Linked DNA regions of Caenorhabditis elegans. The protein of the gene in region 2 interacts with the protein of the main gene of each other region in a pairwise test. Each region holds a gene or a part of one and is shown on either strand. Other genes may lie near its edges.

Region 1 (3,946 bases), on a different chromosome or scaffold from region 2:
CTTGAATTTTAGAGAAAAAGTCAAAATAAATGCACATTTTCGATTAAAAAGCAAGCGTACAGGTGTAAATCAGTGAAATTAATTAATTCAGGTTCGAAATCGTTTAAAAGCGTTACTTTTTGATTTTTACACCTGTACGCTTGCTTTTTAATCGAAAATTTGCATTTATTTTGACTCTTTCTCTAAAATTCAAGCAAAAATACACCGAAAACATTAAAAATCGGTGGAAAATAACAAAAAATAAAATAAATAAATTTAAAAACGTGCAAGCGCGCCCCATCGAACAAATCCAATTGGCGGTAATTCAAATAGGAATTAGGCAAAAACTGAGATTTTTTTCAATTTTCAAAAAATCATATAAAATTTAGAAAATTTTTTTGAATTTTTTTATTATGATATTTGGTCATTGTGGCCCCATAGGCGTGTTTTAAAACAATTTCCCCACTGAGCGTAGTCCACCTTTAAGACATAGAACAATTTTCAAAAGATATGCTTTTGGTTGCGAAACCAAGTTATTTCATAATACACATTTCCTACTGTTTGAGAAGAATATTTATCAAAACTTAAAAAAGAAAAGGTTAGTTGTAAGGTTTTTTCATTGTTTCCTCAATCACGGCGCTAATCTCAGGGGGTATATATGGGTTCTAAGATCACACTATCCGTTCGGGCTCCGTTATATGATAGGAATAAATCATTAGATTTTCTGACTCGACTGGCAATCCGGTGTAAAACATAGCCGGGGTCAGTTTGAATGCGGTGTCGAGAATGATTTCCCCCTTTTCCTCAATCGCACACATTTTGACAGGAAATGGGGTCGGGGTATCCACCAACTCTGGAAATTAGGTTCATATTTTTTCTGATGATGTTTTTTTTTTCAAAATTTCTTACTTTATGAAGACTGTGTCGATCTGCTTCTTTCCACGCCATCCTCCCAAGTTCAGCTGTCGAAGATCCCCCACGAGGATGATCGATAGCCCGCCGAAGAGCGCATCCGTCCTCTTCGGCGTTCTCTTGAGAACCATGTCCGTCGCATCCAGGTGCCAGCTCGCTAGGAGTGTGATTTCATCGATGATAATGAGTCGTGTCGTGACGCAGATGAATGCCTGATATTTCAATCTTTCCAGATCTTCAGGTTTTTCGTTCGGTAGGCCAATTGTGCAATGCAGTGTGCGCCCTCCGATCGCTTTTGCTGCTTTCCCGGTAGATCCAGTCATCAAAACTACTCTTTTTCTTACGCTTCTGTTCATTGAGTTTTCTATTAGCTTGATCAAAAATGTTTTCCCTGTCCCAGCTGCACCATTTATCATTAACAATACTTGTTTCTGAAAACGAATAACGAATTTTGGCAAAAAACATATTAAAAATACCGAAATCTGGGAAATATTTTCAATTTACTCAATTTTTTTTCTGATTCCGAATATCGATGTGAAAAAATATTTTAAAAAATACCCTGATTTTATATTTGAGCTTGAAATCACGAATTTCATTTGTGACCCGGTCTCTTTATTGAAATGCGCACCCAAAGAAATTATTTTTCGCCAAATTCAGTTATTAACCAGTTTTATTAATTTTTGTCGAGTTTTTATCGGTTTTTTTCTGAAAAATATTGCTCCAGTGCAAATTTCTTTGAGCGCGTATTTGAAAAAAAATAGACCGGGGCACAAATTAAATTCGTGATTTCAAGCTTAAATATAAAAACAGGGAAATTTTTTCAATCTTTACATATAGATATTCGGAATCAGGGGAAAATTTGGAGCAATCTAAAATATTTCCCAGATTTCGGTACTCCACTTTTGTAAAAATTAGGGAAAGAATTTTAGAAAAAATGTGTTTTGGTATAAAATGAATTTCGATAGAGAATTTTTCTAAAAATTAGGAAAATAATTGTAGAAATGTATTTCGGTAAACTATTTGAAAAAAAAACTTACGTCTTGCGAATCATCCCGAACGATCTTGTTCAGAAGTTGCTGTTGTTCGTCGTTAGCCATTGTGTGCAGATTTCCATGGGTCAATATGGTGATCTCCGTCTTCCCGACAGACGAAGAACCCTCCATGAGACGGTGACACCTCTGAAAATGTGACTGGGTGGGGATTATATGAAAAAGGACAAAAACTAAAAAACTTACCTCAGGTTTTTTGTTTTTGGTTTTGAGCAGAAAAAATAATAAAAAATATAGACAGATGAACAACACACAGTCGTTCTGAAAATTCAGTGATGACTGGACACTCTCAGCTTTTTAAATACTACTGTTATCTACATATCATCTAGAGCACCGCCTACATGTATATAATTACAATGTCATTAGCACCTATCATAATGCTCCATACTTGTTTGACAATGTTATCGCAAAATAAAGTATATTAATTGTTTGCTGCCGACCCATGCAATTATCACCTCATTACATATATGATCCATACCAAATCGCACCTCTAGATATCAATCAACAAATCTTTGATGAACAAGTTTTTAATTTAAAAAAATAGAGAAAATGAAGACGAAAAAGTTGTAAAATTTGAAGAAAATCCGAAAAAAAAACTAGTAAAAATTGACAATGAAAATAATGTATTCGGCAGAAAAACGGAAAATCGACATATAAAATTCTGAAAGTTCAAGTTTTATGTATGATAAATTATTAAATATTGACGGCTTCCATACATGCTTGAAATACTGCTGGAGAAATTACTAACCCAAAAGGTAAAACATTCCATTCAAAGAGCTCATTTCTTATAGCAAATGCTGTTATCTTCTTACTTTGTTCCTTTAATGGTATCTGCCAAAAACCTGCCATCAAGTCAAATGTGGAATAAATCTTTTTTCCAGCTAGAGACTGTAATGTTGCTTCAATGTGTGGCAGCGGATGAGCATTATTTGTGACTACTTTATTTACTTTTCTGCAGTCAATTCTCCTGGTAAATTTAAAAATTCTCCTGGTAAAATTGAAAATTCTCCTGGTAAGTTTAACAATTCTCCTGGTAAAATAGAAAATTCACCATATTTTACTCTCTGGCTTCCCACCATATTTTACTCTCTGGTTATCAATACGAAGAGTTCATCTATTGAATTTAACAGCGATCGTGGGATGAACATTTACTTTTCTCAATAAACTTTTCGGATAGAATTACTTTTGCATTCACAGAAAGGAGCTATAAGTCAATAGTTTATTCATTTTCATGTAAAAATCAAAATCGTTATCATCTTCTTTTTTTGAATATAATCTCAAAGTTTTCCCCACTGTTTCCACAGATTGGAACACAGATGTAGTCACGGATCGGGAAGTTGATGGCGTAGTAGATGCGGTAAAAGAAACTGAAGGTGTAGTCCAGGAATGCCACACAACTGTCTAATTGCCATCCGGGGGCGTAGTTTGGGCAGAAGTTGTACTGGAAAAAAGACGCAAAATTTGATTCTGATCATTTTGTCAGTTGGAAATTTTTCAATATCTCTTACCGTTGTAGAGATACGCGCGTTTGAAGTAAAGTAGTCAAGAGAGTGTGGGAGGAGGAGAGACGCAGGGGGAGGGGGTTTCAAAATAACAAAATACTCAGAATTTCGAGCTCTACTCAACGAACTAACCTTTGAAACCAAGCGATTCGTGCTAATCAACGTCTCCACATCATTCTGCAACAATAACCCGAAAACCATTTGTCCGCAGTAGTTGCAAGCATCGGTTTGATTGTTGTACCACTCGGCAGAGCAAAATGGAGTCAGAACTAGCAAAAGTATGAGAAGTTTGGAAAATTTCATGGTTTTCAGGAAAATATGAAAAGTTAAGGGAGAGAGGGGTATTTATATTCAAATTTTCGAGATTTTTTTTTTGGAAATTGACAAAGAATTAAGGGAAAATGTTTTCTATGGAGAGGCTTTTCAAACTTTTCAAGTTTCATCTGGAAAAAAAGTTCGAAGAAAAAACATTTTTTGACTGAAGATGTTTCAGATTTTTAGGAA
Region 2 (3,940 bases):
AAGAGATGTATTTTGCTCAGTTTATCAAGATGAATTGCTGAAAATATTCAAGAAAAGTGAAAAAGCGGAGAAACGAAGAGCCAAATCAACTCCGAAACATAAAAAGTTCGCTAATGAAGATGATGATGATGTTATAGTAATCACAAGTGATGAAATCAAAATTGACAAGTTCAATACTCCGGGAGAAGTAAATTAAATTAAAATAAAAATTCAATATCAGTTACTTTTCCAGGAAGATTCCATTATAATACTCGACGGCTCTGCTTCAACAGAAGAAAAACACCTTTTGACTCCGATTCGAAAAGATGTAAAACTAGGAGAATCGATGTTTGAATTAATCGGAACTCCAGTGTTTGGTAGCTCTCTTCTTACTCCTGTTGCTCCACTTGAAGCGTTTGCCGTCGGAATTCAACCATTTGAAGCAAGAGAAGAACTTACTGGATGCAAGGGAAACTTCAGAAATCTCATGGACAAATTGAAAGAAATCCGCGAAAATAACTTCGTTCCGGAGCCTGAAGAAGAAGTTATTTTGGTTTCAACGAATGAAATTTCGTCGTCGAATAACTCTGGAACTGCTAAGAACAAAAATAATCAGAACAGGAAAAGAAATAGAAGACATGCTAAATGAATTGGCTTTTTGAAAAATCCTTTTGTTGAATTATTGTTGTTGCTTAAAATTGTTGTTGTTGTTCCATATTTTTACGCAAAACTACCATGATAAAACCTTTTTTCTTGATTTTCCAACCTCTCTCTTGTTGTAAATGGTTCCGAATGTCCACAATCTTCTATTTTGGTCATCAATTATATCTTTATCTCTGCGTTTCTTTCACTCTTGCCGCTTTCCGATGGATTGGTGACACACAGCAAATATCGGTTTTCTCAATTTAAACTAAATTGGTCTAATTGGCTTATGTTTAATCAGATTATTTCGAGAAACCTGTGAATATTAAAAAGATGGTATAGGTTTTGAGGGATTTTTTGCCGAATTTATTTTTTAGAAAGTGATGGAATTTTTTATGATTGCAAATTTTTTTAAAAATTATTTAAAAACGAGCTGAATTATTTTTTGAATTCCCGCGCAAACGAATTCCTAAAGTTTCGACGTTTTCAGGTTATATTATTAAGGTTTTTATTAAATTATTGATTCGAAACATAATTTTGTAAAACTTTCATACATTTTTTCCCGCAAAACAAGTTTACATTATTGATTTGAGGCCAGATTTAGAGTTTCAGAGAAGTTCTTTAGATTAACAAAATAAAATAAAAAGAAACCCCAATTAATATAGCCGGAAAAAGCAAAAAATATCGAAATTGTGTAGATCACTTGCGCGGGAATTCAGAAAAAGTTTAGCCTTTTTAATCATTTTTTTTCCAAAATTGAAAAAAATCATTTAAAACAATGTTCAAATTTTGTAATTTTGTTACAGTTATTTTCGGTAAATATATTGAGATTGTTATTGTTAATTAGAAGGAAAACCTACAAAATCTGCTCCCATACCATGCATAACTATATTTAAGATCCGAAATCTTATTCAAAAAAGTAATAAAATTAATTGAAACCTTTTTTCCAGGCCACCAGTTGTTCTTATCATTCATTCGTGACAATTTATTCATTGCATTCTTTTTCTTTCGTTCAGGCAGCGGTCCACTGGCTTGTCCATCCGATTGTTTGCACATAAAGTGTATGATGACTCATCACATTCCTTTTCCCTCTCTTCTTATTCTGTTCTCACTCAAAATAATTTTTTGTTATGATTTTCAACCTTCTTCGTCTCGAACTAAATTTATGAATTTTTTGAAATATTCAAAGTTTTCAGCGGATTCTTTCCATCGTTTCTAAATCACAAAACACAATGGTTGATCGACTTGGTAAGTTTTATTTATTTTCTTTTATAAAATAATTTATTAAATTTTAGTGAATAGTGAAGTGAATTCCCGTCGAATGGCTAACGTAGAACAATGCTTTGGAAAAATGGGAGAACAATTGTCGGTATTCGGACGAGTTCTTGTCGGAGAAGGTGTTCTTGTGAAAATGTGCCGAAAGAAACCGAAGCAACGGCAATTCTTCTTGTTCAATGATATTCTTGTATATGGAAACATTGTGATTTCGAAAAAGCGATATAATAAGCAAAGAATTCTAAGATTGGAAGGTGTACAAGTAGAAGATCTGGAAGACGATGGAATTGAGAAACATGGATGGATTATTAAGACACCTGCAAAATCGTTTGCAGTTTATGCAGCAACTGAAACTGAAAAACGAGAATGGATGTTGCATATTGAGAGATGCGTTACAGATCTCCTTGAAAGAGGTAATACACGAAAATTATTTTCAAAAAATTTCCACCAAAAAATTGCAGAGAAAGTTTGAAACCACCGTAATCTTTAAAGGCGCTTACCATTTTCCGTTTCAAAAAATCTTGTCGTTTCGAGACCGAAAACCGTATTTTTAATGCAACAATCGCAACATTTTTCGTCTAATTAATATTAAGCTTAAATAAGTCTTAGGCGCATTGTGGTCTTTTTATTTAAAAAAATGTTGGCAGCAATGTTCAATTTAATTTATAAATTGTGATGCAAAATTGGTCCATAGATCGACAAGTTACAGTAATTTGTTGTCCGCCTGGCGAGACCCATGCGCCTAAGATAGGTGAAAAATTCTCATATTTAAATGACCAATAATATACGTTCTACAAAAAAATTGGGAATCACCATATCTCTAAATTAAAACGGTTTTTTAGATAAATTATTTTTTTCTATTAAAAATACAATCAAAATTTTCTACTTTCAGGAAATAAGCAAGCCGCGACTGCTCACGCAGCTGTATGGGTTCCCGATGGTGAAGCAGTGAAGTGTATGGTCTGCGGGAAAACTCAATTCAATCTGGTTCAAAGAAGACATCACTGCAGAAATTGTGGACGTGTCGTGTGTGGCGCCTGCTCATCGAGAACATTCCGTATTGACAATGTACATAAGAAGCCTGTCCGAGTTTGTGATCATGTACGGTGAAGTTTGACACTTTATCGTCTAAATATCATGATTTTTCAGTGCTTTGACAGTCTGAGTAGTGCCACACCAGGACAAGAAGAAAGTGAACCAAAAACGGGAAATCGCTTGCACCATGAGGATTCCTCCTCGGATAGTGAAGACGAGGTCAATGGTAGTGGACGATCGAGTAATGAGAGCCGGGTATACTGAATATTGCCTAATCTTTCAATAAACATACAAATTTCAGCCAACATTCTACCGTGAGGACGTTCAGCAGCCGGCAACATAGTTCAACGCATATAAACTACGATGAAAATTCTAAAATCCACGTCCTCATTCCTACTACTAAATTAATATTATATTTTCTTAAACGTTCCTGTGATATACAGCAATTGTACGTATTTTTTTTTGTTGCTTCCAACGACTTTTACAATTCCTGAAAAAAAGTTATTTCCTTTTTCTTCAATTCAAGATTATTCAGAACTGCACAAAATTAAAACGACCACATGACAGAAGGAATCATTTTAATAATCATGAATTACAGAAATGATCAAATTTCTTGTCCTTACAAGAAACAGCGCAATTAACTGAAGTGTTCAGAGAAACGTATGGTCCATTCGGCTTGGAATCATATAAATGTTCTTAAATTATTAAAAGTAAAATAAATGTTTTATTTACATATGATTAGTGAAATCAGAGCACAAAAGTGTGCAATGAAAAATAAATTTTATTTTCTGGAGTACTGTAAGCGGGCACATGGTGTATTGTACGCAGAGTTCTTCGAGTGTTTGCGTATCCACGTTGTTCTCCACGTGGACAAAACGCGCGGCACGTTTACTTTCTGAAAATTCGTTTTATTTTTGCATTACTGTCTTCTTAAAAGCTGAAAATGGCTGCAAACGAAGTGTAAATTTCATAAATTCCTAAGCTTTTATTCATATATATATATATATAT

The links. Proteins that work in one complex are often made in the same cells at the same time.
Region 1: the proteins of ZK632.12 (region 2) and Y116F11A.1 interact in a two-hybrid assay, tested with the Caenorhabditis elegans proteins (one large-scale study listed by BioGRID).

Annotation. Positions count from the first base shown.
Region 1 is NC_003283.11:19,728,837-19,732,782, reverse strand, and holds Y116F11A.1 (ATP-dependent DNA helicase), read right to left. Parts: upstream 2,204-3,946; 5' UTR 2,127-2,203; intron 2,082-2,126; 5' UTR 2,055-2,081; coding exon 1,929-2,054; intron 1,323-1,928; coding exon 889-1,322; intron 833-888; coding exon 784-832; 3' UTR 541-783; downstream 1-540. Other genes in the region: Y116F11A.3 (Saposin B-type domain-containing protein), read right to left, coding at 3,193-3,381, 3,575-3,745.
Region 2 is NC_003281.10:9,828,985-9,832,924, forward strand, and holds ZK632.12 (uncharacterized protein), read left to right. Parts: upstream 1-1,817; 5' UTR 1,818-1,853; coding exon 1,854-1,869; intron 1,870-1,916; coding exon 1,917-2,309; intron 2,310-2,788; coding exon 2,789-2,997; intron 2,998-3,045; coding exon 3,046-3,186; intron 3,187-3,232; coding exon 3,233-3,274; 3' UTR 3,275-3,439; downstream 3,440-3,940. Other genes in the region: ZK632.11 (uncharacterized protein), read left to right, coding at 1-187, 233-628.